Caenorhabditis elegans: one gene and its partners. The protein of the gene in region 2 interacts with the protein of the main gene of each other region in a pairwise test. Each region holds a gene or a part of one and is shown on either strand. Other genes may lie near its edges. The genes, in order: unc-101, mig-5, pry-1 and dpff-1.

Region 1 (7,188 bases), on a different chromosome or scaffold from region 2:
TTAGAATTCGGAAGCTTTGATTTCCAGGAAGCTTAGGCTTAGATTCAAGTGTCCCTAATCTTTGCTTCTAATATCCATTGGGCTAGATCCGTCTGAGATCCATAAAGGCTCTATATCCCGAGCTTTCAGCCTACCTCGACGCCAAGGAGCACTTGATGAACACTCCAATGCTCTCACCAGTCTACTTCATTCTCGGAGGATCCAAGAAGGACGAGGGATGCATCATCGCTAGAAGTCTCGACAAGACCGCACTTCTCACCGAGATGGCCACATCCCCACACGGATGGTACCTGTTGGAGACCAACTACGATCAGGGAACCGAGGTGAGAGATGCTAGAGTTGAAGGTGTAGAGTAGGTTCTGGTAGACGGATCTAGGGGCCCAACTTTTAGGAGAGGTCCTTCTCTAGGCCTAGGTCTAGTATTTTGAACCCAGCTTCTTTTTTTGAGTGGGTCGAACTCCTAGCTAGAAATTTTGATCAAAAATCTGTCAAAACCTATCCGGAATTAACTTATCCAACATTTCCCTCTTCCAGGACCTCTACCTTGACGACCGTGACACTCCGGGATTCCGTTGCATGGACAAGTTGACCCAGAAGAACGTCGGATTCGAGGGAATCTTCAACGTCTTGTCATCCCGCACCAACCTGAATAAGCTCACCACCTACACCGTCCTCATGTCCGTCGAGACTTCTCGCTTCGAGACCATCCTTCAATCCTGCCCGGGAGAATGCTATCCATGGTAGATTGGATTCAACATTCTCATATACGCAATGATTCATTGAAATAAACTTTCATTTTTGTAAATAAACTTTGATGGGTTCTTGTTTGAAAACGAAATTTTCATAAAATTTAAAAATTTTAGAGTTTTTTGGTTTTTTTTAAACAAAAATTAAAAATTTTAATTTTCCCGCTGGAAAAAAATAATGAGTTACGGTAGATTTAAAGGCGCATGCACCGAAACTTATCGAGGTTACCAAAGTTATTGCTTTTTGTGGAATTTTACATTTAAAAAATAATTGTTTGCTAATTTTATGGTTTTTCGTCGTTTTTTCGTTTCTAACCAAGTTTTCCTCCTGAAATTCAAATTTCGTCACAATTTTATTAAAAATGGGATACGGTAGATTTAAAGGCGCATGCCTAAATATTTCTTCTGAGTCTCGTAGCGATTGGTGGTTTTGTGGAATTTTCTACTAGAAAAATGAATTTAAACTGATTTTCCAGTATTTTTACACAAATTTTTTTTATTTCAATTCAATTTTCAAATTATTCAATTCAATTTTCTGGCGGAAATTGCCAGTTTTTGTCATTATTGTCCAATAAAATAAGGTACGGTAGTTTTAAAGGCGCACACCTAAATTTTGCTCCCTTGGTTTCAGTTTTGAATTTTTAAAATAGAATTTTAACCGATTTTCGTCGATTTTCACTTAATTTTTTGCACTTTTCCGACGAAAAAGTCGATTTTTTGCAAAATTCGGTATTTTTCTCCATTTTTTCGCGAAAAAACCGCTATAAACCAAATTCTCCACCTTTTCCATCCAATTAATCCGTCTCCAAGGCCTCCTGCACCGCTGCTGCCGCTCCGTCACTCGCCGAGAGAGTATATAAAGTGAAGAGACTGCAGACTGCAAGAGGGCGTGCCCGCCAGCAGCCGATATCCATCTTTGCACTCATTTTCTTCGATTTTCCTCCGTTTTCCGCTAATTTTCTCCGGATTTTCAGTATTTTCCAGTAGCTGCCACGTGGAATTTGACGATTTTAACGAGAAAATCGCAAAAAATCGTCGAAAATGGCGACTTCCGCCATGTTTATACTGGATTTGAAGGGAAAAGTGAGTTTTTTAGTGTTTTTCACGTCGGAAAATGCCAATTTTCGCATTTTTCAGACGATAATTTCTCGAAATTATCGCGGAGACATCGACATGACGGCAATCGATAAATTCATTCATTTACTCATGGAAAAAGAGGAAGAAGGCTCGGCAGCGCCCGTTTTGACCTATCAGGACACGAATTTCGTGTTTATCAAGCACACAAATATTTATTGTGGGTTTTTTGTGTGAAAAATTGAATTTAAAATCAAAAATTAGATAGAAAAATGGCAAAATTGAAGAAAATCCGTTGAAAATGACGCAATTGGTCAGAAATTTGAATTTTCAAGCCAAAAACCGATAAAAAGTGCAATTTTTTGTGGTTTTTAACATTTTCAAATTGAAAATAACGTTTTAAAACTAAAAAATGAGTTGAAAAACAGTGAAAAGTAACAAAATCCCTTGAAAATAACGGAAAACCCAAAAAAATTCAATTTTTTGATTTTAAAGTCAGAAAAATTCAAAAATTCCTTGATTTTCTGAATTCCCGAGTGCTAAAATTCAAAAAAAGCCGAATATTCGTAAAAATTGACTAAAATCAATAAAACTGCGATTTTCGTAATTTTTCCATTTTGTAGTTTATTTGAAATGTGGTAAAAATCTTAAAAAAGGAGCAAAATTGTTTCAAAAATCAAGCTTTTCTGCCAGAAAGTCGATAAATTGCGAAAAATTCGTCATTTTTCACACTTTTTCGACATATTTTCACGATTTTTGAGCCAGAATTGTAAATTTCCGGAAATTTTCCCGCCGACAGCGGGTGCAAGCGCGCTCCAATGATAAAACACCCATTTTTAACGGATTTTCAGTCATTTTCTCCAGAATTTCCAGTCAAAAATTCAAATTTCCCTCATTTCAGTGGTCTCAGCATGCCGTTCAAACGTCAACGTCACAATGATTTTGTCATTTTTGTACAAATGCGTCGAAGTTTTCTCCGAATATTTCAAAGATGTCGAAGAGGAGTCGGTTCGCGACAATTTTGTCGTTATCTATGAACTTTTGGACGAAATGATGGATTTCGGGTTCCCACAGACGACTGAGAGTCGAATTCTACAAGAGTAAGGAGGAAAAACGAGAAAAATTGAAAAAAATTACTCAAAAATTCGAATTTCCCGCACGAAAAATCGTTTCATTTTCTGCTGCAAATGCGCTCCAATGCGAAAATAGCCAAATATTAGCGTTGGAGCGCATTTGCAGCGCGCGATAGCAGTAATTTTAAATTTTGGGTCAAAATATGTATTTTCGACCCTAAAATTTTGAATTTCCAATCACAAATGCGCTCTAATGCAAAAATCGCAAAAAATTTACATTGGAGCGCATTTGCAGTGGCGGGGAATTCAAAAATTCAAATTTTCCTGTTCAAAATGTGTCTTTTGTCTCGAAAATTTGAATTTCTATTTGCAAACGCGCTCCACTGCGATTATTTGCACTGTAGCGCGGTTGCAGCTGGGAAATTTGAATTTTCATTGAAAATTTCAATTTTCTCGCATTCAACATGCAGCAAACGCGCTTCAATGCAAAAATCGCAAAAGTTCACATTGGAGCGCAATTTTCCTGTTCAAAATGTGTTTTTCGACTCGAAAATTTGAATTTTTGTGCAAAATTATCATCGATTTTTCCTCAATTTTCAATCAAAAAACCCCCCAATTTTTTGCAGATACATCACACAAGAAGGTCAAAAACTAATTTCGGCACCCCGTCCCCCGATGGCAGTGACAAATGCCGTCTCATGGCGCTCTGAAGGCATAAAATACCGAAAAAACGAGGTTTTCCTGGACGTAATCGAAAGTGTGAACATGTTGGCCAGCGCCAACGGTACCGTACTTCAATCGGAAATTGTTGGAAGCGTTAAAATGCGTGTCTATCTTACCGGAATGCCTGAACTTCGGCTGGGTCTTAACGATAAAGTACTTTTTGAGGGCAGTGGACGTGAGTTTTTTCGAATTTTATGCGAAAATTGAGATTTTTCAGGCAATTTTACCCTAAAATCGATAAAATTTTGTTAAAATTCAACAATTTTAAAGTTTTTAGCGTTTTTCAATTGCGCTCCAATGCGACTTTTTTTAAATTTTTGCAATGGAGCGCGTTTGCAACTTGAAATTCAAACTTCCTACCGCTACAATCGCGCCCCATTGATAATTCTCGATTTTCAGGCGGAAAAAGCAAATCTGTGGAACTGGAAGACGTGAAATTTCATCAATGTGTACGCCTGTCGCGTTTTGACACGGATCGAACGATCTCCTTCATACCGCCCGACGGAGCATTTGAGCTTATGAGCTATCGGTACGAAAAAAGTGGAGAAAATCGGATTTTTAACCGAAAAATCGAGTTTTTCGCATGATTTTGACGGAAATTCAGTGATGTGGCCTAGTTTTTTCGAAAAGTTAGGCCACCGACTTCTAATCTGTGGCCGAAGTTTGATTTTGTCTATTTTTTGGCTTAAATACTCGATTTGAAAGCTGAAAATGCCAGAAAATCCTAGGAAATGCCAATTTACCCACGTGGCCTAGGTTTTTTGGAAGTTAGGCCACCATAGCCTAGTTCGTGGCCGAGTTGTAATTTCGAGTTAATTTCTGCTTTTTTATGCCAAAAACGCTCGAAAAACAATTATAAGGTGTAGAAAATACAAATTTGCTTACGTGGCCTAGGGTTTTCCGGAAAAAACTAGGCCACCAAAGGCCGATTCCTGTTTTTGGGTTCTTTTAGGTCAAAAAACTCGTTATTCAGACGAAGAAGAGCTCAGTAACATGAAAAATTCTAGAAAAATACAAATTTGCATACGTGGCCTAGATTTTACAAGAAAGTTAGGCCACCACTGGCCAATTCATGGCCGAACTCTATTTTTTGGCTAAAAACTCGGCTTCTTTACTACAATAGCTCGATTTTTCTGTAAAAACACGTTAAAACTGTAACAAATGGAACACGTAACATGCAAATTTCCACTCGTGGCCTAGTTTCTCGCAAAAGTTAGGCCACCACTGATCAGTTCGTTGCCGAACTCTATTTTTTGCTGAAAACTGTGTGTCTGGATCAAAATTGTTGGTTTTTCTTAAAAAATAAGTCAAATACACCTGCGGCCTAGGTTTTCGGGTAGAAAATTAGGCCACACCTTAATTTTGAGTCTAAAAAGTTGATCACTAGGCCAAATTTAGCTTGAAAACACTGAAAAATAAAAAAAAAGCAAATTTACATGCGTGGCCTAGGTTTTCAGGTAAAAAGTCAGGCCATGCCTCAATTTTGTGTCGAAAAACTCGATTTTTACCTCAAAAAGCTCCAATTTTTCCTGAAAATTCTCGAAAAATACCGTTTTTTTTCAGATTAACAACCGTGGTGAAGCCGCTGATCTGGATCGAGACAAGCATCGAACGTCACAGTCACAGCCGTGTCTCGTTTATAATCAAAGCGAAATCACAATTCAAACGGCGCTCCACTGCTAATAACGTGGAAATCATTATTCCAGTCCCGTCGGACGCTGATTCACCGAAATTCAAGACAAGCATCGGTTCGGTGAAGTATACGCCCGAGCAATCGGCCTTCGTATGGACTATTAAGAATTTTCCCGGCGGAAAAGAGTACCTTTTGACCGCCCATCTATCTCTACCGTCTGTGATGAGTGAAGAGTCTGAAGGACGGCCGCCGATTAAAGTCAAATTTGAAATTCCGTATTTTACGACCAGCGGCATTCAGGTAGCCGAATTTTTCGCTTAAAATTCGACTTTTTAGCTCAAAAATTCAAATTTCCCACCGCCAAAAACTGCCCAATTTTGAGATTTATGTAATTTTTTCGCTCTAAAATGCTGAAAATTTCATTTAAACACATGATATTATTTAAAAATCCGACTTTTCAACTAGATTATTTGAATTTCCCGCCGACCGCATGTTGCAAGCGCGCTCCACGGATAAAACTGCTCAAAATGCAGATTTTTGTGATTTTTTTGCGTCAAGATGATGCAAATTTCTCGAAAAAACCTAACATTTGACTTTTTAACTCAAAAATTCAAATTTCCCGCCTACCACATATTGCAAGTGCGCTCCACGGAGAAAACGGCTCAAAATTGAGAATTATGTGATTTTTTGGTGTTTAAGGGTGATAAAATCTTCTAAAAAAAAGGCTTGAAAATTCAATTTTTCCCATAAATTCCACCAAGTAAACCCTAATTTTCAAATTTTCAGGTCCGTTATCTGAAAATCATCGAGAAAAGTGGATATCAAGCATTGCCGTGGGTCCGCTACATTACTCAAAATGGAGAATACGAGATGCGGATGAAATAATTCCTGAAAAAATTACCTAAATTCATATTTTATTGTATTTTATTCCCAATTTTACTCTTAATTTTTGGAATTTTTTATGAAAAATTGGTGAAAAACGACCGTGGCCGAGTTTTTGGAAAATTTGGAGGTCTAGGCCACCATGCTTCCAGTGGTGGCCTAACTTTTCGAAAATCCTAGGCCACGGCCCCGTTTTCCATCAATTTTTGCCTCTTTTAATGTCAAACATCTCCAATTTTTTCTGTGAAAATTTAATGCTCCGCGAGCTGCTCCCCGGCTCAAAACATGTGTTGTGTGTGCTCTTTCCCCTGATGACCCCGAACTCTATTTTTTTTTGTTCGAAAATTTTTATTTTATTTTTCCCACCGATTTATTTATTGATTTTTATCGCATAATTTAGATTTTTTCCAGAAAAACGAGTTTTTTCCCTTTCCCACCAGCATAATTTTCTCACCACATGGATCCTCATCAATTTTTCCCGTTTTCCTTTTTTCAGTAAATCAATAAATTTTCTGTCATAATTGTTTACAAAATGTTTTCCGGGGGCTAAAAATTCCATTTCAAAAATTGTCTAAATTTCCAGAAAAATCACTGAAAAAAATGCAAAAAATTGCCAGAAAATGCGCCGATTGTTGCCGATTTTTCGTCGAAATTTGCGAATTTCTGCATTTTCGCGTCAATGCACCACATCTGACGACACTTTGCGGACTTTTGCGCCAAATGCGTTGATGGATCGAATTGTGGACGATTTGAAGGTTCGGCAAAGCGGGAATTTGAAAATTTTGAAGATTTAGCATTGGGGCACACTTGCATCACGCTTTTATGGCGCGAAATTTGAATTTTTGCCCTAATTTTGGACTTTTTTTTGCATTGGAGCGCATTTGCATTAGCGGGAAATTCAAATTTCCAACTCTAATTCAATTTTTTCCAGAAAACTGGCACACATTTTGTGATTCCCGGTCGAGATTCCTTTGCCAGACAGGAATCGGCAAAAGTTTTCGAAAAACTTTTGGAAAATGGTAGGTTTTGCTAATTTTTTTTAGTGAAAAATTTGAAA
Region 2 (5,220 bases):
TTATTTCATTCATTCCTTGTTTCAAAATGACAGGTTAGTTTTCTTTGTCACATTATGCAACATCATTTGAAATTTTAGACACTTCTACAACTTCTTCTGTAGCAAAGCGGCAAATTGAATCAAAAAACGCTCAGCTTTTGAGACAATTGATTGAAAAGAAAAATAAGAAACTCAAAAAGAAAGTCTATTCAAATGCCGAAGAACAAGAAATTGATTTAATTATTCAAAAATCATTTGATTCAATAATTGGTAAAACTCCATATTCTCCATTCAAAATGTCTGATTGGATGAGCAAGATGATCCAAACAATTTCGGATAATTTAGTGAAGCTCAATGGAAGCAAAAAGTTTTTGGTTCATTGTACTATTTCTGCAAAAACCGATAATCTTGCAATTTGCACGGCCAACATGTGCTCCTGGGATACTACGAAGGATACTGCATACTACTCGGAATGGATGTCTAAAACTATCTTCGGTGCTGTCCAAGTCTTCTTCATCACACATCGTTTTTCGAAGTGAACATCGTCATGAAGAAATTTAAAATAATTCATAAATAGACTCAAAATTACATGAATGAATGAAAACGTTAGTCTTACTGAAATACATGAAAACAGGGCATAGTTTTAAATATTAATAAAGCATGTGGGAATTAAGGCGAGAATCGGTAAAGGCAATGAGTTTTAAATTTTAAGTCCGTAAAATACGCGTTCTGCTGTTGCTACTGTTCTCCCCGTCGAAATCGTGGTTGACTGCGTTCTGCGACTGAATCGGAGAAGCTGCTAGAACCATAGTACTGGATAGAGGAGTCGGCGGAGGGCCTCCTAAGCCACCACTTCCTGGAATTTGTAACTAATTTGGTTGGGGAAATACTGTTATGTGAAAAGTCATTTGGATACAAAGGGTACAGTAGTCAAGAAACAGCAAATACTATATCAATTGAAATGAATATTTGCTTCAAATTTAACTCCTGCACCCTATAGAAACGATTAATTTTCTCACCGTTTGTCAAGCTTGAGGATGTCACTTGAGAAGGTGCCGGTACCTGACGGTGATTATTTTTCGTCCCAAAAACATGATAATTTCCGACTGGATTCATTCCAATTTGGCTTTCTCCGACCATCGATGCGTAATCATTTGTCATAGGACTCTCACAATCTCGACGTCTTCGAAGCCATGTTTGGTCATGAGCAACTGGGCTTAGAGTAGTGGTTTCTAATCGATGAGGAATATTTCTTCCAACTCGTGCTGCCAGAGCATGTGGTGCTGGTGAGCCAACATACGTCACTTCAGTAGTTGCTTCAACTCGCATTGTAGTTCCACTCGTACCAGTGGTGTCCGTGGAATTACGATCATTGCCAAGAATTCCATCACCGAATACATAGTAGCACTTTTCTGTGAATGTCAACTTGCTGACGACATGTCTGATAAGACCAGCAGCTAACAATCTCGCAGCATAGATTCTAGCTTTCTTCCGATTATGAATATCAGCCATGTGATCAACGAGCCAATCGACTAGATCTCGGCCTAAACGTTGATTGTTTGGATCCTAATACTTGAATGTTCAGTACTCACCAATAAAAGACATTGGAACCAAAATTTTCAGCCATTTTCGATTTTTGACAGCTAATCCTGAATCCGGACGAGCCATAGAACGAACAACAATAATGGGATCAATCATTTCTGTGAGTTGCTCTATTTTTTCATTTTGCTCATTTTCTCGTTTTCTTTCTGCTTCTTCAATCAAAGCTCTTGGAATTCCATTTCTACGTTGATCGTAAAGCATTCGCTCCTCATCATCAGAAGCTGTCGATGTAAATGGAAGAGTTCCGTCATCAATTGTAGTTGCCGTTTGCTCCTGTGGATCCAAACCCAGAGCTTTCATTTTTTCAGTGTTCTGCCTGTAAGTATCAAATTAAGAAAATAAATCTTGCGAGGTACCCTTACACAGCGGTTTCTACCCAAACTCCAACGTCGAGGGGCATCGTTTCAGACGCCATGGACGCGAGTGGATCATCATATTCACTTGGGGCACCTCTTGCAAACTTACTGATATAAAGAGTAATTGGTCTAAAAATTAAAAAAAATTAATGCTAATGCGTAGAAAAATACCTTTTGGAGGATGCAGCTTCTCTGAGCGAACGAACTGCTTGAGGCCCACTGAGTTCTTCAAAGGATACTCTATTAACTTGAAGAATCTGATCACCAACGTTCACACGTCCATCTTTTTCAACGGCACCTTCTGGTGCAATTTCGGAAACGAATATATGACCATCAATTGTGCACACGCTCAGTCCCAGATATGGAACATTTTTCATTGGTAGATAAATTTCCAGAATTCGAGGGAGGCCGCTGTTAACACTTGATTCCGTCGCTGAGCTAATAGTACTTGGAACATACGGTCTTCTGAATCTTTCTTTCTTTTGTTTTTTCCTTCTTCTATCGTCATCGTATATCTTATTCATATCACGAGCAGCGAGAGGTTCGTAGAGCGAAGAATCATCTCCTGTTCGACGTGTATGCTCGTCATATTGATACGGATCCTCTGAATTTGAAGTGTATAATTCTGCCAGATGCTCTCCTGCTCTTCCTGAAAAACGTTCATACAGGTTTTTAAGAGTACATAAATAGCAAAAACTCACTGCTAACAATGGTGCTCGGAGCAAGACTAGCATCAGAGTACGGAGTCGCGTCAAAGTCTGCACTTCGTCGGCGGCGCTTAAAATATCAGTTTTTTTTGAAAATAACAGAAATCGAACCTTATCTAGAGCAGTTCTCTGTGGTCGCGTCATTGTTCCACTGTTTCGAGGAAGAGTTCCATATCCTGGAGTGCTAACGAGAAAAATCTCATAAAATCCATTCTGGGATTTGCGCAGCCGATCCGAATCAGTTGTTAATTCGACTTTAACTTCTCTGAACATTTTTCAGTACAGAATAATTACAAAAATTAAAAAAGCCAAAACTCACCGTTGAATATCCGGGTCAAGTTCCTTCGCATAATACTTATATCCACGCTTGGTGAATGAATTTTTGAAATTTCCAAGCGTCGCTACTCCTTCTCTGGCTTCAATAACAGAAACATAGGGAGTCGTTTCATCGTCGAGATAGTAGAAGACCTGGAAGAAAATTATTTCTGTTTAATCACTGGCTTAATAAAAAACAATTCTGATCAAAATTCTTACTTTTATCTGGCTGCAGTCTGATGTGCATGGCGGCTCCATAAATGTTAGAAATCTGAATTCAATATTTTAAATTATAGACCAATAAAATATTTATAAAAATTACAAGAGGAAACAAAAAAAACAAATTTGTTTGCAAAGGACTAGCGGAAACAATTTTATTTTTAATTTATCGGCAATAAATCGCGGGTGGGAACAATGTTGCAAATACGCCCTAGTGACAGCTGGTGTTGGGTCTCGGCACGATTACCCTTCTAGCATGCATGAAGTACGATGCGCTCTGAGAATATTCTACAAGAATTTTAATTTTGATTCAGAATTCAAGGGATCCCCGATTTTCTGGAAGCATTTTTATTTTTACTGAAATATTTTCATTTTTACGTATATTTTTATTTTTGAGTGCTTATTCAAAGCCCCTTTTTGACTCAATATCGAATGTCCTACTCTATTGCTAAGTTAATACGGTTGTGTTTCAGGTAATGGCATCAGCTGGAGATTCCATTCTTGCCCTCACCGGTAAAAGAACTACTGGACAAGGCATCAGATCTCAGAATGGTAACACCGAAAGCTCAATATAAGTATACATTAATTAATTGCAGTCACCGCGGCAGTTGCGATCGCCAATATTGTGAAGTCATCTCTTGGCCCTGTCGGACTTGATAAAATGCTTGTCGATGATGTTGGAGATGTCATTGTCACAAATGACGGAGCCACAATTCTGAAACAACTCGAGGTTGAGCATCCGGCTGGAAAAGTGCTTGTAGAACTTGCACAGCTGCAAGACGAGGAGGTCGGAGATGGAACTACTTCTGTCGTTATTGTGGCGGCTGAGCTCTTGAAGAGAGCCGATGAGCTTGTGAAACAAAAAGTTCATCCGACGACTATTATCAATGGTTACCGTCTCGCGTGCAAGGAAGCCGTCAAGTACATTAGTGAAAACATCTCATTCACTTCCGACTCGATTGGTAGACAATCAGTTGTCAACGCTGCCAAAACTTCCATGAGCAGTAAGATTATCGGACCGTGAGTTTGGTGTTGTCTATGCTTCAAGAAAATTGATTTTTCAGAGACGCCGATTTCTTCGGAGAGCTGGTTGTTGATGCCGCGGAAGCTGTTCGTGTGGAAAATAACGGGAAAGTCACTTATCCTATCAATGCAGTCAATGTTCTGAAGGCCCACGGAAAGAGCGCTCGCGAATCAGTTTTGGTGAAAGGATATGCACTCAATTGCACAGTTGCCAGTCAGGCCATGCCACTTCGTGTTCAAAATGCCAAGATCGCATGTCTCGATTTCTCTTTGATGAAGGCTAAGATGCACCTCGGTATTTCAGTCGTTGTTGAAGATCCAGCCAAGCTTGAGGCTATTCGCAGAGAGTGAGTTGAAACTATTCGTTTCTTTTTAAGCTATGGAATTTTCAGAGAATTCGATATTACCAAACGCCGCATTGATAAAATTTTGAAAGCCGGAGCCAACGTTGTTCTTACAACTGGAGGTATCGATGATTTGTGCTTGAAGCAATTTGTCGAATCTGGAGCTATGGCTGTTCGTCGATGCAAGAAATCAGACTTGAAGAGAATTGCCAAAGCTACTGGAGCCACATTGACTGTTTCCTTGGCTACTTTGGAAGGAGATGAAGCTTTCGATGCCTCGCTTCTTGGACATGCCGATGAAATTGTTCAAGAAAGAATTAGTGACGACGAGCTCATTCTCATCAAGGGACCGAAATCTCGTACTGCCAGCAGCATTATCCTCCGTGGAGCGAACGATGTGATGCTCGATGAAATGGAGAGATCGGTTCACGACTCACTCTGTGTTGTTCGTAGAGTTCTGGAAAGCAAGAAACTTGTGGCTGGAGGAGGTGCTGTTGAGACTTCTCTCAGTCTTTTCCTTGAAACTTATGCACAAACCTTGTCTTCTCGCGAGCAGCTTGCTGTTGCTGAATTCGCTTCAGCGCTTCTCATCATTCCGAAGGTTTTGGCAAGCAATGCTGCAAGAGATTCTACTGATTTAGTGACAAAACTCCGCGCGTACCACTCCAAAGCTCA
Region 3 (7,804 bases), on a different chromosome or scaffold from region 2:
GGAAATTTGTTTTTCCAAAAAAAAATATTTTTGAGCAAAAATTTTTTTTTTCAAAATTTTCCAAAAACTTCCAAATCAACCTAAAATCAATATTTTCCCAGTTTAAACCCAAAAAAAAACTCACTGATGTGCTCCATTTGGCAGAGCAAAGTGCCTCTTGAACTCCGCCAACGTCATTGGTCCATCGTTAGGGACATGTGTTACCACAGGGATTTTATCGGTTCCTGGAAAAAAATTTGAGTTAAAATGTTAGAAAATATAAAATTTAGGGTAAAATCTACCCTAGAAACATAGAAAATCTGAAAAAAAAGTTCAAAAAAATTTTCAAAAAAAAATTTGTAAAATTTTTTTTTTCACTTTTTTTTGTATAAAAAAATGAAACCTTACCTAAATAGCTAATAGTTATCAAATTCGACAAATTTTTCCCAATTTTCGAGTGCTTCTTAGGCGTTGGAGCCTTTCTGTGCTGCCTCCGATCCTTATAATCCAGTGACGAAGTGGCGGAGAACGCCGACGGTGCCATAGACCCAATTCCCGAAGAATCATAGAATTGACTCGATTTGCTGCTCCCCGGAGCAAAATTCACCCTGGTAGTGGGCGCCGGCGCGAAGGAGTCCCTACTGTAGGAGGAGCTGGCTGAGGAGTACGATGGAGCGCACATTGATTGGCTCATCATTCGATTTGTGTCGATTTGATGGTGACGATGAGATTTTAGAGAAGCCGAGGTGTCCCGGGGGTAATCTTTTCGTCTCGGGACCCGAATTGTGTTGTGGAGCTGAGCGGGAGCACGATTGGTTGGGGAGAGGGTGGCTGGAAAATATTATAAATTGGAAATTTGAATTCAGCTCATGAAGAGCTTCAAAATACGTATAAACATGCTTAGGTTCCGTCTAGTTTGAAAAAAGTTGGGTCCCGCCACGAAAATTTGGGGCTACAGTAATAACTTTCGTGGTGAGACCCAAAAATTTCCAAATTTCACCAAACCTAGGCATGATTATACTTATTTTGAAGCTCTGAACGAGCTGAGTTTGAAAATTGACTGGAAATATAAAAATACTGGATTTTTTTTTGAAATTTCAGAAATTTGGGTCTTACCACGAAAGATATTTAAAATTTAAAACTTTTACAGTTTTAGTAATTTTTTTTTTCAGCTCGTCAAGAGCTTTAAAACGAGTATAAACATGCCTAGGTTTCGTCAAATTAGAAGATTTTTGGGTCTCGGCACGAAAATTTGGGGCTACAGTAATACATTTCGTGACGAGACCCAACAATTTTCAAATTTCACCGAACCTAGCCATGATTATACCTATTTTGAAGCTCTAGGTGAGCTGAGCTTGCATTTTGTAGTTTTAAAGCAAAAATGTCATTTTGTAGTTGTTGGTTCTCACCACGAAAAGCTACAACACCCATTTTCGTGGCGGAACCCAAAATCAAGAAAACCTAGGCATGTTGGTACTTATTTTGAAGCTCTCAATGAGGCAGACGTGATTTTAATAATTTCAATAATTAAATTTATTAATTTTGGAGAAAAAAGTTTTTGCTCAAAAAAAATTTCAAAAATTTTTTTATTTTTAATTTTCATAGATTCGAACTAAAAAAAAACGTTCCCTGACAAATATTTTTGTCATTAAGATGTTTACTAACAGCTATTCCAATTCTAACACCTATTAGTAATATTAATCCCTTCATGAGAATAACCCGACATATGGTACCGGAGCATGGGAACTCACTATTTTTCGATCCTTCTCCAGATTTGTTGGGCTCTCCTGCTGGGCCTTTAGGTGATCGATTTGTTGATCCTTTTTGGGAATCATCTGTCATTTTCATTTTCAGATAATCATCCAACTCCTCGTCCTCATCGATTTTCCCCAGATCGTCGTTGGGCTCCGTGCCGTTTACCATGTCGATTGTCTGAAAAATTAATTTGAAAATTGAAGTCAGCTTGATAAGAGCTTTAAAATAAGTATAAACATGCCCTATTTCAGTTGAATTCAAAAAATAATGGGTCTCGCCACGAAAATCCAGGGTTACTGTAGTCGTGGTGGGACCCAAAAAATCCAAATTTTGCAGTGGTGACTAGATAACTAAAAAAACATGCTCAGCTTGTAAAGAGCTTCAAAATAAGTATAATCATGCTCAAGTTTAGTTGAATTTGAAAAATAGTGGGTCTCGCCACGAAAATCTAGGGTTACTGTACGCTTAAACCAGGAATATTTAAATAAAACGGATCCTAGACATGTTTATACTTATTTTGAAGCTATGAGCAAAGTTAGCTCCAATTTATAAGTTTCCAAGCAAAATTGCAAAATTGAAGAAAGTTGGGTCCTGCCGCGAAGTACGATTTCGTGGTGGGACCCTAAAATTCTTTGAATTTCACTTTAAAAATTACAAATTCAAACTCAGCTTGTTGAGAGCTTCAAAATAAGTATAATCATGCCTAGGTTCCGTCAAGTTTTAAAAAATGTGGGTCCCACCACGAAAGGTATTACTGTAACCCCACATTTTCGTGGTGGGACCCAAAATTTTTCAAACTTGGCGAAACCTAGTCATGATTATACATATTTTGAAGCTCTCGGCGTGCTGATTTCAAATTTTACAAATTCAAAGCCTAAAACTCGAAACTGAAAAACCTACCGTATACCGACACTCTTCGATATCGTCAATCCTCTTCTCCATCTCATCATTTAGCTTAACCTTATCAATATGCCTAAGCAGTTTTCTGGTGATTTCCATTGCAAAATTTCTTCTTCCTGATTCAGAAGAATGATCCCATTGCTGACCATCGACGCTGGCTTTTTCGACACGTGGCAGTGTCATGGTACCGTGATTCTCGCGGGCTTGTTCGTCTCGGATATGGCGGAGTCTGGAAATTAGACACTTTTAGATAAAAATTTGATATAAGCTCACTGAGAGCTTCAAAATAAGTATAATCATGCCATGGCCTGAAAATTTTCAAAATTTTAGGGTCTTACCGCGAAAACTTTTGGTTTTTTTGTAGTAATAGCTCTCAACACTAAAATTTAAGGTTTTCAAAAAAATACAATTTTCAAAAAAATAAGCTTAATTTGGGTCTCGTCGCGATTTTTTTCAGAAATAATTTATTGAACCCTAAAAATTTGAAATTAAAGTTCAGCTTGTAACGAGCTTTCTAACAAGTATAATAATGCCTAGGTTCAGTTAAGTTTGAAAAAATTTGGGTCTCGCCACGAAAACCTACCAACAGTAACTCGGGGTTTTCGTGGCGGGACCCAATTTTAACGGAACCTGGGCATGTTTATGCTTGTTTTGAAACTCTTGGTAAGTTGAGCTCAGCTATCACAATTTAAAAGTAAAAAATCTGAAAACTGCCAAGTAGGGTCTCACGACGAAAAGGTTAGTGTAGATTTTCGTGCCGGGACCCAATTTTATCGGAACCTAGGCATAATTATACTTATTTAAAAGCTCTCAACAAGCTTAATTCAAATACATTAACCAAAATCACCTACCTATTACTATGCATCCTATGGGCTTCGGGCGTGTCCCCAGAAAACGTCGAGCTGACAGCCGAGTCGTTGTGTGAGGTAGTGGCGTTGCATACGTATGGTTGACGTGTCGGTGGGTACATTTTCTCAAGTTTTCTAAAAAAAATTCAAATTTAAATAGGTAGGGTAGGTAGGCGACTTACGTTTCTCCAAGTTTGCTGTGCCTGTCGTGTTTCGATTTTAGGAGGGCCTCAGCTGTGAGCTGGGTGGCGATTTGTGCGGCACTTTTACGGGAGGTAGTGCCTGACGACCTTCTCATGGTGTTTTGGTGTGATGAATGGTGGGCGGAGCCTCCCGGGAGCTGGTCGGCGGTGGTAGATGACATCTGGAATTGGGGTTTTTAGTTTTTGGGATTGGAAATTTTTTTCAGAATTGCGATAAGATACGTAAAATGCTAAAATTCAAATTCAGCTTAAAAATAGCTTTCGAATAAGTATAATCATGTCTGGGTTCTATTAGAATTGGGTCTCGCCACGAAAACCTACAGTAACCCTTTCGTGGTGGGACCCAACTTCTCGGTTTTCAAATTTTTCACACTGTGACTATAAAAATTCAATTTAGCTTAGAAAGAGCTTTCAAATAAGTATAATCATGCCTAGGTTTGGTTGAATTTGACAAAAGTTGGGTCCCGCCACGAAAATTTGGGGCTACAGTAATACATTTCGTGGCGAGACCCAACTTTTCTCAAACTTAACGGAACCTAAGCATGATTATACTTATTTTGAAGCTTTCAGTCAATTGAGTTTAATTTTGTAAATAAAAATTGCAAAGAATCAAAATTCAAAAAGTTAGGCACCGGAAAAATTTCGTCGTAGGACCCAATTGTTGGAAAACCCTAAAATTTTCGCCAAAATTCTGAAAATCTGAACTGAGACCGCCGATATTACATTAAGAATGCATAGGTTTCGCAAATTCTGTAAATTTTCCAAACAACCTCGGTCTCGCCAAGAAAATCCTGGGTTACTGTAGGTTTTCGTGGTGAGACCCAACTTCTATCAAATTTGACGGAACTTAGGCATGATTATACTTATTTTAAAGCTCTCAGTGAGCTAAATTCAAATTTTCACAATTAAAAAAAAAAACAATTTACCTTATTAAAAGCCTCAATAAACTCTTCGGAGCCCACAAACTCCTCGTGTTGGCGTCTTAAAAATTCTTGAACAAAATTCGAACAATGACTGAATACCCGATCCTCTAATTCGGTGCCATGACGTAGTTTTTCACCAATCCAAAAATTAATTTTTGATTTTAAAAAATTTTAAGAAAAGCTTACCGGAGCCCTAAAATGCTTGGGAATTGCTTCGCAGTTTCCGGTCCGAGAGGACAAAAATTTCGAGTATATTGACTTGGAAAGTTGGGATTTCTAAAAAAAATAGATAAATATTGCCCGATTTGCCAAAAAAGTTGCAAAAAAATCAATACCTCCGGTTTTCCCTCCAACGCCATTCGTTCGTATGCTCGGATTGCGAAGAACAAGTCGAGGTACTGAAAATTTCTTATTTTTTTAGAGAATTCGGAAATTTAAAGTCAATATTTGAATTTAGCTTGCTGAGAGCTTTGAAATAAGTATAATCATGCATGAGTTCCGTCAAGTTTGAAAAAATTGGGTCTCGCCACGAAAATGTGGGGCCACAGTAGTAGATTTCGTGGTGAGACCCAACTTTTTTTTGACGGAACCTAGACTATTATACTTATTTCAAAGCTCTCAGGATGCTGTGTATGAATTTCAATAAATTTAATTTTTATGGGGTCCCACAACGACAAACAACTACAGAACCCCATGGGTTGCGTGGTGGGACCCAACGTTTTGCGAAACGTGGTCATGATTATGCTTTTCCAAAAGCGCATGAAAAGATTGATTAAATTATGAGAAATTTATCTCGAAAATTAAAAAAAGTTGAAATTTTCGCAAAAAATTTTCGAAAAAACGTGAAATCGCAGACTTTCCTTGTAACTGGTCAAAATTCTCACAAAATTATGATTTCGCCTGCAAAACTATAAAATTCGAAGTCAGCTCGCTGTCAGCTTTTAGATAAGTATAATGATGTCCAGGTTCCGCAAAGGTTGAAAAATTAGGGTCTCGCCACGAAAATTTGGGACTACAGTAATAACCTTCGCGGTGAGACCCAGATTCTTTCAAGTTTGAAGTAACCTAGGCATAATTATACTCATCTTGAAGCTCTTGACAAGCTACATCCGAAAACAAGTAAAAATTTCAAATATTGGAACTTTGGGTCCCGCAGCAAAAGAAAATCTAAAAATTTTGCGCCAAAACCTAAAAATTTTCAAAATCATCGTAAAAATGTCATGATTATACTTATTTTGAAGCTCTCGGCAAGCTAAATCCAAATTTCGCAGAAAAATCCCAAAAAAAAAGTTACCTGAGGCGAGGAGTACTCAATAAGCCATTCCTGAAACGCGTCGAGTGCCGATCGATCGGATAGAACGGCCTCCAGGCTTCGCGCCCAACCGAGATGGGTCTCCATGCACCTGAAAAGGAGGTGAATTTTATGATTATGTTGAAATAAGAGAATATTCAAAAAAAAAAGTAGAGAAAAACTTGAAAAATCGAGGGAAATTTTTTTTTGAAAAAATTTTAAAAAAATAATTTTTTTGCCAAAATTTTTTTTTTCAATTTTTTGTTCAAAACTTTTCTAATGACGCTTTTACTGAAAATTAAACAAATTTTATTTAAACTTAGCAGTTTGACCCCCTCAAAACCTATAAAATAGGCCAAAACTATACACAAAAAAAAAAAAAAAAAACTGTGATAAGATATAGGATATACAATATATTATAAGCGTCACTATTCCCTCTCTAATTGCAAAAATGGAACAACTATGGGTGTCTTATTGTTCCTATCAGTGGCTGATAATCAAGGAATGAGGCCCCTCGCTTACTCAATGAATGGGCGAGAGCGAGAGAGTGGCGGGGGTGAGAGACGCAGAGATAGTGACGGAGAGTAATGGGGTGTATTGGGAAGAGTAGTAGTACACACACACAGATAAGACACATGTCTCCAGAAAGATGACAACGATTGATGAGTGAACATTGTTTCGGGTGCCCCCGGAAGAGTTTACTGGGGACGCTCGACCGGCTACCGGGAGGGGCCCCTAACTTTAGGGGCGTTGATCTTGCTGGTAAGTTGGTCTAGCAGAAAAATTTAAATTGAATATATGTAGAAAATTGTACGTAGATTATTTTGTTAGTTGACAACTTTTTGCTAGCTCTGCTCTCTGCGGAGTTATGGAGCTTTTAGGTTGGAACTGGGGGCCAAGGGAGGCTTAGAGGTCAAGTTCAAATAGCTGTAACTCTGCGGAGACTGATGCCATCAAAAAGTTGTTAACTAGCATATTGTAGGACGTTTTATAGCAATTATTTTGTCAGTTCAAATGTTTTGCTAGCACCATTGTGTGCAGAGTTATAGGGGTTTAAGTTAAAACTGGGGGCCAAGGGAGGCGTAGAGGTCAAGTTCAAAATCCTGTAATTCTGCAGAAAATGACGGTATCAAAAAGTTTCCAATAAATAAAATGTAGGAAAGTTTATGATAATTATTTTGATAGTTAACAATTTTTTGCTAGCTTTTTTATTTGTAGAGTTATAGAGGTTTGAAGTTAAAAGGAGCCTAGCGCCTCTTGAGTTCAAACCGTTATAACTCTGTGGAGCCTGAAGCAATCGAAAAGTTGGCTATTAATAAAATGTAGGAAATTTTACGGTAATTATTTTGTTAGTAGACAATTTTTTGCTATCTCATAGTTTAAGCTTAAAAAATGTTTAAAAAATGTGACGCTGTAAAAACTTGATTTTTTTGAAATTATCGCCATTAAAAAAAAAGTCTAAAATTTGGCCAGTAAACCTCAAACAACACAATTTTTTTAAGATTTCAGCAAAATTTCTTAGTTTAAAATTTCTTAGCCCAACAAGGATTTTAAGAAAACCCAGAAAAATGTTGTAAAACTAGTTTTTTTTTTCTTGGAATATTTTGAGTTTTCAAACATTTCAAAAAATAAGATTTTACCGTAATTTTTTTTAGATTTCAAGCCGAAATTTGGCCATGAAATGGTTTGACCTAAACCGAGTCTAAAAATTTTCAAATTTTTACGCCTAAAAAAGACCTAAAATAGTTTGGCCTAAACTGAGCCTAAAATAAATTTAAAAACTGGATTTTTCATATAATTTTCCAGTTTTCAAAGCAAATATTATAGTCCCAAAGATGGTCTAAAAAGGAAAATGGGTAAAACAGAAGGATTTAGGAAAAAGATGGGGGTAGGAAAATCAAGGGG
Region 4 (4,756 bases), on a different chromosome or scaffold from region 2:
AATTTCATCAGGTTGTTATATTAGCAAAGTTAAAAGGCTGACGAATCAATTTGGACTACAGCGGAGATGTGCGCGAAATTCGGAATACGGGGAAAACGGTTGGAATCGGGAGAAACGACAATTTCTAAGCACAACAATTTTCTTGTACTATCTCCAATTTTGCCATCTCTGGATTTTACACTTTTTTACGGCATGTCGAATTGAGAGGGAAAATTTTGCACGCTGAAGTCAAATTTGGCGCATTTATTGTATTATTTATTATTTTCCAGATTTACCTCAGCGGAACCGGTAGACTGGAGAAGGAAGAGTTGTGGAAGAATGGCCACAGCCTCCAAATAGATCGAAAAAGTCCAGAGCAACTCAAATGGAGCGAAATCGTGATTGATGAGAAGAGCGAGGATCGCAGCTGGGACGATGAGAAGCTCGACACGGAAGGTATCCGACTCGCGCATGTAAGTTGAGCGGAATTTGAAGAACATCAGATACACTGTGGCGTACGTAGCGGCGAGGAAGGTGATCTGAAATTTGATTGTATTTATAATTGTTACGGACAGAAAGTTACCTTCATTGTAGTGTTATACAAAGAAATGTATGTGGAGAAAAGATCCAAGTATCGAGCAGTGAACACGAGAGCGAACAGAATCTGCGACCGCGCAGAGATTCCGGAGCACGATCTGCTCTTCCAGATTTTGAGCAGAAGGATGATAATCGCAAGCAAGTGCGACATATCTGCCGATATACGGAAGATGTTCATGATGACCCTAAAAATTATCATACTTTGAGAATTTAGATACATACATCAGGTAAAGAAAAGAAAACGCAAATATGAAATGAATTGGAAAACACCTATTCATTCCAGTGAATGGGTATGTTTTCAATTATCGAGGTCAACGTTGTTTATCAAAAGATAACGGATAGAGTGATAGGGAACAGAGAAAATTATATTATATGGACGGTAAAGTTCCGGAGAACGAACAGAAATGGTTTAGAGTTTTCCTTTCGCAGACAAAAAAGAGTGCAATAAAAGCCAGCACTGAATGTGCCACGTGGGAATTTTGAAAAATGCAAATACAACGCAACGAAGCTAAAAAGGTTTACTGAAAAAAACTAAAAAATGGAACTTAAAACATAAAGACAAAATTTTTAAACATTGAATGCAAAAACTACGTGTATTTACAGTTAAAAAACACATAACCCTGCATTCAACAAAAAAACAAACATTTCGATTCGCTAGGTAAAATGCATGGAAATATTCTATGAAAACTAGAATGTTTGAATAGAGCATTTTGTTCGAACGTTCTGAATACCGAATGTTTTTTTTTTGTTTTCGAAAGACCTAGATTTTCTAAAATTGTAGGCCTACATGAACTTTTCAACCATTTTTTGGTATTCACATAATGCGTAGCTACATATTAATCAATTATCGCAAAAAATTTAAACTGTTTAATTGAAAAACGAAACGTTTTAGGCCGGAAACGAAGAAGAAAACTCGAGCCAAAAGGTCCATCAGCCAACGAGTCCACGCTGGACAATACGCAATTTCGCGTGTTGGTGTTTGCGTACATCGGCAGCTGTCCAATTTATCGATCAGTGTTCATTCATTCTCTTGTTTTTTTTGTTTGTTCACACCGGGCGCCCGATTTCTTGAGCTATCAAAATGTTTAAAAATAATCCAAGACAGCTAATCTTACAGACAATGATCTCGGAAAACGGATATATGGACCTGATGCGGAACTGCATTAAATGGAATTCCCGGCAAATGGAGGATCGTAAAAAACGGTTAGTTATTGATGTTTCGGCTACTTAAAAAAGATCCATTTGAAATCTGAATAATCTAAGTAATGATAAATCTTTAGAGCATTTAGGAATTATTTTTTGGTTGTACTAAGCCCCTAAAAGTTGCAGACTGCGGTTCCCATACTATGAACATCAAACGGCTACGGCCCAGCGAGAGTCTCGCTTCACAACCCGCAACGTGGATCACATGTATCCATCAAATGATCCAAATACTGTTGTTCAATTCGCAACCGAGAGATGGAAGAAGAGCAAGTCACAGCCACCATCTGATGCTGTTGAGATGAGCATGTTTTTGCGTGAGAATCCGTCTATTCAGGTTGCAATTGATCATCTCACTCCACAAGTTGTCGGACCAACAACTGGTGAGAAGCATCAGAACGATTCAACCTAATTTTTGTAGTTCGATTTGCAGAAAGTGTTTCTGATAGTTCGAACGACTCAACTACCATCAGACCATCCCGCCAAACACAGATCAAAGAGGAATATCGTGATGACTACGTTCTTGACGATGAGCTCTCTCCAGACGAGTTTGGCTCCGATGAAGATGATTGGTCGTCGCGTAAACGCCGTAAAGGCAACTTGGGGCCTGTTCAGAAAGCAACTTCGTCACGTAAAAAGGTTTCTTTATTTATTCAATTGTTTAAATAATTTTATTCTGACTGTTTAGGTACCAACAACTCGTTCCTCTGTCTCTCGATTGACCCCATCTCGTTCCATAGTGAAGGAAACAAAATATGAAGAACCGGAGGAGAAGACGTATCCATGTGACAGTGAGTGGTTGTACGGCGGATTAGCGAAGCCCTCTCGCCCAGGAGAACACACCATTCTTCTTGTCCTTTTTAGTCTTATTTGCCTCCCCCATCGCCCACAGCATGTCAGTTACCGGGAACACTATCATCATGATTTTTAGTTTAATTTTTCGTATCTTGATTCATTCGGTTTCGAGATTTTTCAAAAAATTAGGATGCTTGGAAATTGCACGAGATTATTTATGTTTTTGCATGCTTTAGTTTTTTTTTTAATTATGCATGTTTCTCCAGAGATCCAAGGAAAATTAAATCAAAAAAATGGGAAATTTGGTCTAAAAAATAAATTTTGGAAGATTATGTATGATCTTTTTTTAATATTAGTTTCATAATTAGTGGTGTGATTTGTAGTACTTCTTCACATAATTGTGGATCTTATCAAATGTATTAGCTTCCTTCCTCTCGTTATCAATTTGCACTAAGTCATAAGCCAATATGTATCCTGAATATCCCATTCTTATATCCCTCCTAGTATTTTATCCCTCTGTAAAAGAAACCTGGGCGAGAGGGACCTCAGTAAAAAATCCTGCGGCAACCGCTCAACTGATCAAAAATACATCTCTCCCACCCGGGACACGGGGTCTATCGAGAGGAAGTTTGTAGAAATATAGGCACTAAATTTAGCATGTACTGAGTGTTCCTGGAAGCTTATATGATGTGGCATAATGGGAAATCTGTGATTTGAAAATACTCTTTTCAAACCGCATATTTCCCAAGTCCTTTCGTTTGTAATTTAAAATTTTTGATAATTTTCAGAATGCAGCGCGAAATACAAAAGCCTCGCGGGTTTAAGCTATCATCAGTCGTATCTTCATGATCAAAAGTCTAGTCAACCACTGGTTAAGTGTAAGTTTTTTGCATTCCAAGCTATTTTCAAATGTATTATTTTTCAGTATTGTCTCCCAGTATAGAAATATCTACTAGCTGTGATTTCTGCAGCGGCACTGCTTTTATGAACAAAAATACAAAATTGCCAGAGGATCTCGTTAGTTGTCATGATTGTGGTCGTTCTGGTCATCCTTCCTGTCTTAATTTTAATCAAAATGTGACCAAAATCATAAAAAGAAGCGGATGGCAGTGTCTTGAGTGCAAGAGTTGCACCATTTGTGGTACAAGTGAAAATGATGTAAGATATTTTCTATTATATTTATAAAGTGCAATATTAATTGGATTTCAGGATAAATTGCTCTTCTGTGACGACTGTGATCGTGGATACCATCTTTATTGTCTGACTCCGGCGCTCGAAAAAGCTCCAGATGATGAGTATTCATGTCGGTTATGTCAAGTTGAATTCGGAGACAAAGCGAGTGCACCGGCCAAGAAGTAATGGTTCTCAAATATTATATTTATTCCAATATTTTTTGCATAATCTCGACCCGTTTGCTTACGATCCTCCCACACCGTCATCCGATTATTTATTCTTCATTTTCACTTGAACTTTAAGTATTATTATTACTACGTAATGGCTCATACATAGAGAAAAATTCTTGTTCTAAAAAGCCAGCCTAAAACCTCACTCACCCCTCCTTCTGCTACTTTGATTTCTCGCTCTTTTCTTTTTTGTACTTCCACATTTTCCTCGTCCTTTTTATTTATTTCAGTCTTATCATAAAAAAGTTCAATAAATACTATGATTCAAAATAAAACACATGTGAAGAAACTCGAACAATATTGGAAGTTTCAAAGAATCAAACGGAACATTGAAAATTCTAATTCAAATTACTATTTTCCAGTTTAATTGACAATTTTTTTTATTAACATCTTGGAGTACGATACAAGGTCTTACAACGATCGAATATATCCAAATGAAAAGAGATAGGCACCTTTAAGAAGTACAGTAACCTTCACGGCCCACTGTTTTGCAGTTTTCTTTCATTTAAGCTAGTTAAAAATATATATAATTGTTTAATTTTAGATAAATATTGTCACATCCAATAGGTTTTTAGAGTAAAAATTACAACAAATAAAATTGCAAAACCATGGGGCGTGGAGATTATATTTGGTCTTGTCGAGACCTGGTACTGTATTTTTAAGTGAAAATTGCAAACTTTCGTATCTGGGTAATATATCTAGTTTTAAAAAATCTAAAATTATCGTTTTAGAATGTTTAATTTACTTTGGTTGTTTCATAAAAAGAGAATTAACTGTTTGTA

The links.
Region 1: the proteins of mig-5 (region 2) and unc-101 interact in a two-hybrid assay, tested with the Caenorhabditis elegans proteins (3 studies listed by BioGRID).
Region 3: the proteins of mig-5 (region 2) and pry-1 interact in binary tests that used the Caenorhabditis elegans proteins (3 or more experiments, as listed by UniProt).
Region 4: the proteins of mig-5 (region 2) and dpff-1 interact in a two-hybrid assay, tested with the Caenorhabditis elegans proteins (2 studies listed by BioGRID).

The regions. Positions count from the first base shown.
Region 1 is NC_003279.8:12,506,768-12,513,955, forward strand, and holds unc-101 (AP-1 complex subunit mu-1-I), read left to right. Parts: upstream 1-1,531; 5' UTR 1,532-1,787; coding exon 1,788-1,829; intron 1,830-1,883; coding exon 1,884-2,040; intron 2,041-2,721; coding exon 2,722-2,920; intron 2,921-3,519; coding exon 3,520-3,791; intron 3,792-4,015; coding exon 4,016-4,145; intron 4,146-5,179; coding exon 5,180-5,549; intron 5,550-6,035; coding exon 6,036-6,134; 3' UTR 6,135-6,653; downstream 6,654-7,188. Other genes in the region: asah-1 (Acid ceramidase subunit beta), read left to right, coding at 130-323, 535-744; mter-4 (Mitochondrial transcription termination factor family protein), read left to right, coding at 6,752-6,886, 7,063-7,150. UniProt on the Caenorhabditis elegans protein: Component of the adaptor complexes which link clathrin to receptors in coated vesicles. Clathrin-associated protein complexes are believed to interact with the cytoplasmic tails of membrane proteins, leading to their selection and concentration.
Region 2 is NC_003280.10:8,181,792-8,187,011, forward strand, and holds mig-5 (Segment polarity protein dishevelled homolog mig-5), read right to left. Parts: upstream 3,233-5,220; 5' UTR 3,218-3,232; coding exon 3,179-3,217; intron 3,113-3,178; coding exon 2,964-3,112; intron 2,910-2,963; coding exon 2,756-2,909; intron 2,715-2,755; coding exon 2,639-2,714; intron 2,587-2,638; coding exon 2,109-2,586; intron 2,067-2,108; coding exon 1,944-2,066; intron 1,898-1,943; coding exon 1,572-1,897; intron 1,524-1,571; coding exon 999-1,523; intron 849-998; coding exon of another isoform or gene 836-848; coding exon 687-835; 3' UTR 532-686; downstream 1-531. Other genes in the region: dylt-3 (DYnein Light chain (Tctex type)), read left to right, coding at 27-33, 79-518; cct-1 (T-complex protein 1 subunit alpha), read left to right, coding at 3,655-3,730, 3,775-4,198, 4,243-4,548, 4,594-5,220. UniProt on the Caenorhabditis elegans protein: Plays a role in the signal transduction pathways mediated by multiple Wnt genes. Functions redundantly with other dishevelled family members throughout development.
Region 3 is NC_003279.8:14,173,350-14,181,153, forward strand, and holds the start of pry-1 (Axin-like protein pry-1), read right to left. Parts: upstream 6,012-7,804; 5' UTR 6,008-6,011; coding exon 5,903-6,007; intron 5,007-5,902; coding exon 4,944-5,006; intron 4,885-4,943; coding exon 4,795-4,884; intron 4,750-4,794; coding exon 4,612-4,749; intron 4,162-4,611; exon of another isoform or gene 4,089-4,161; intron 3,847-4,088; coding exon 3,665-3,846; intron 3,618-3,664; coding exon 3,486-3,617; intron 2,864-3,485; coding exon 2,635-2,863; intron 1,912-2,634; coding exon 1,731-1,911; intron 811-1,730; coding exon 388-810; intron 225-387; coding exon 125-224; intron 1-124. UniProt on the Caenorhabditis elegans protein: Works in parallel with axl-1 in negatively regulating bar-1 signaling in vulval precursor cells and Q neuroblasts. Inhibits Wnt signaling, which affects tissue specific expression of Hox genes, egl-5, lin-39 and mab-5.
Region 4 is NC_003281.10:5,903,056-5,907,811, reverse strand, and holds dpff-1 (Zinc finger protein dpff-1), read left to right. Parts: upstream 1-1,689; 5' UTR 1,690-1,696; coding exon 1,697-1,779; intron 1,780-1,905; coding exon 1,906-2,159; intron 2,160-2,197; coding exon of another isoform or gene 2,198-2,209; coding exon 2,210-2,415; intron 2,416-2,464; coding exon 2,465-2,567; intron 2,568-3,359; coding exon 3,360-3,449; intron 3,450-3,496; coding exon 3,497-3,729; intron 3,730-3,780; coding exon 3,781-3,930; 3' UTR 3,931-4,249; downstream 4,250-4,756. Other genes in the region: ER lumen protein-retaining receptor erd-2.2, read right to left, coding at 276-518, 563-754. UniProt on the Caenorhabditis elegans protein: Probable transcription factor, involved in meiosis and stress protection.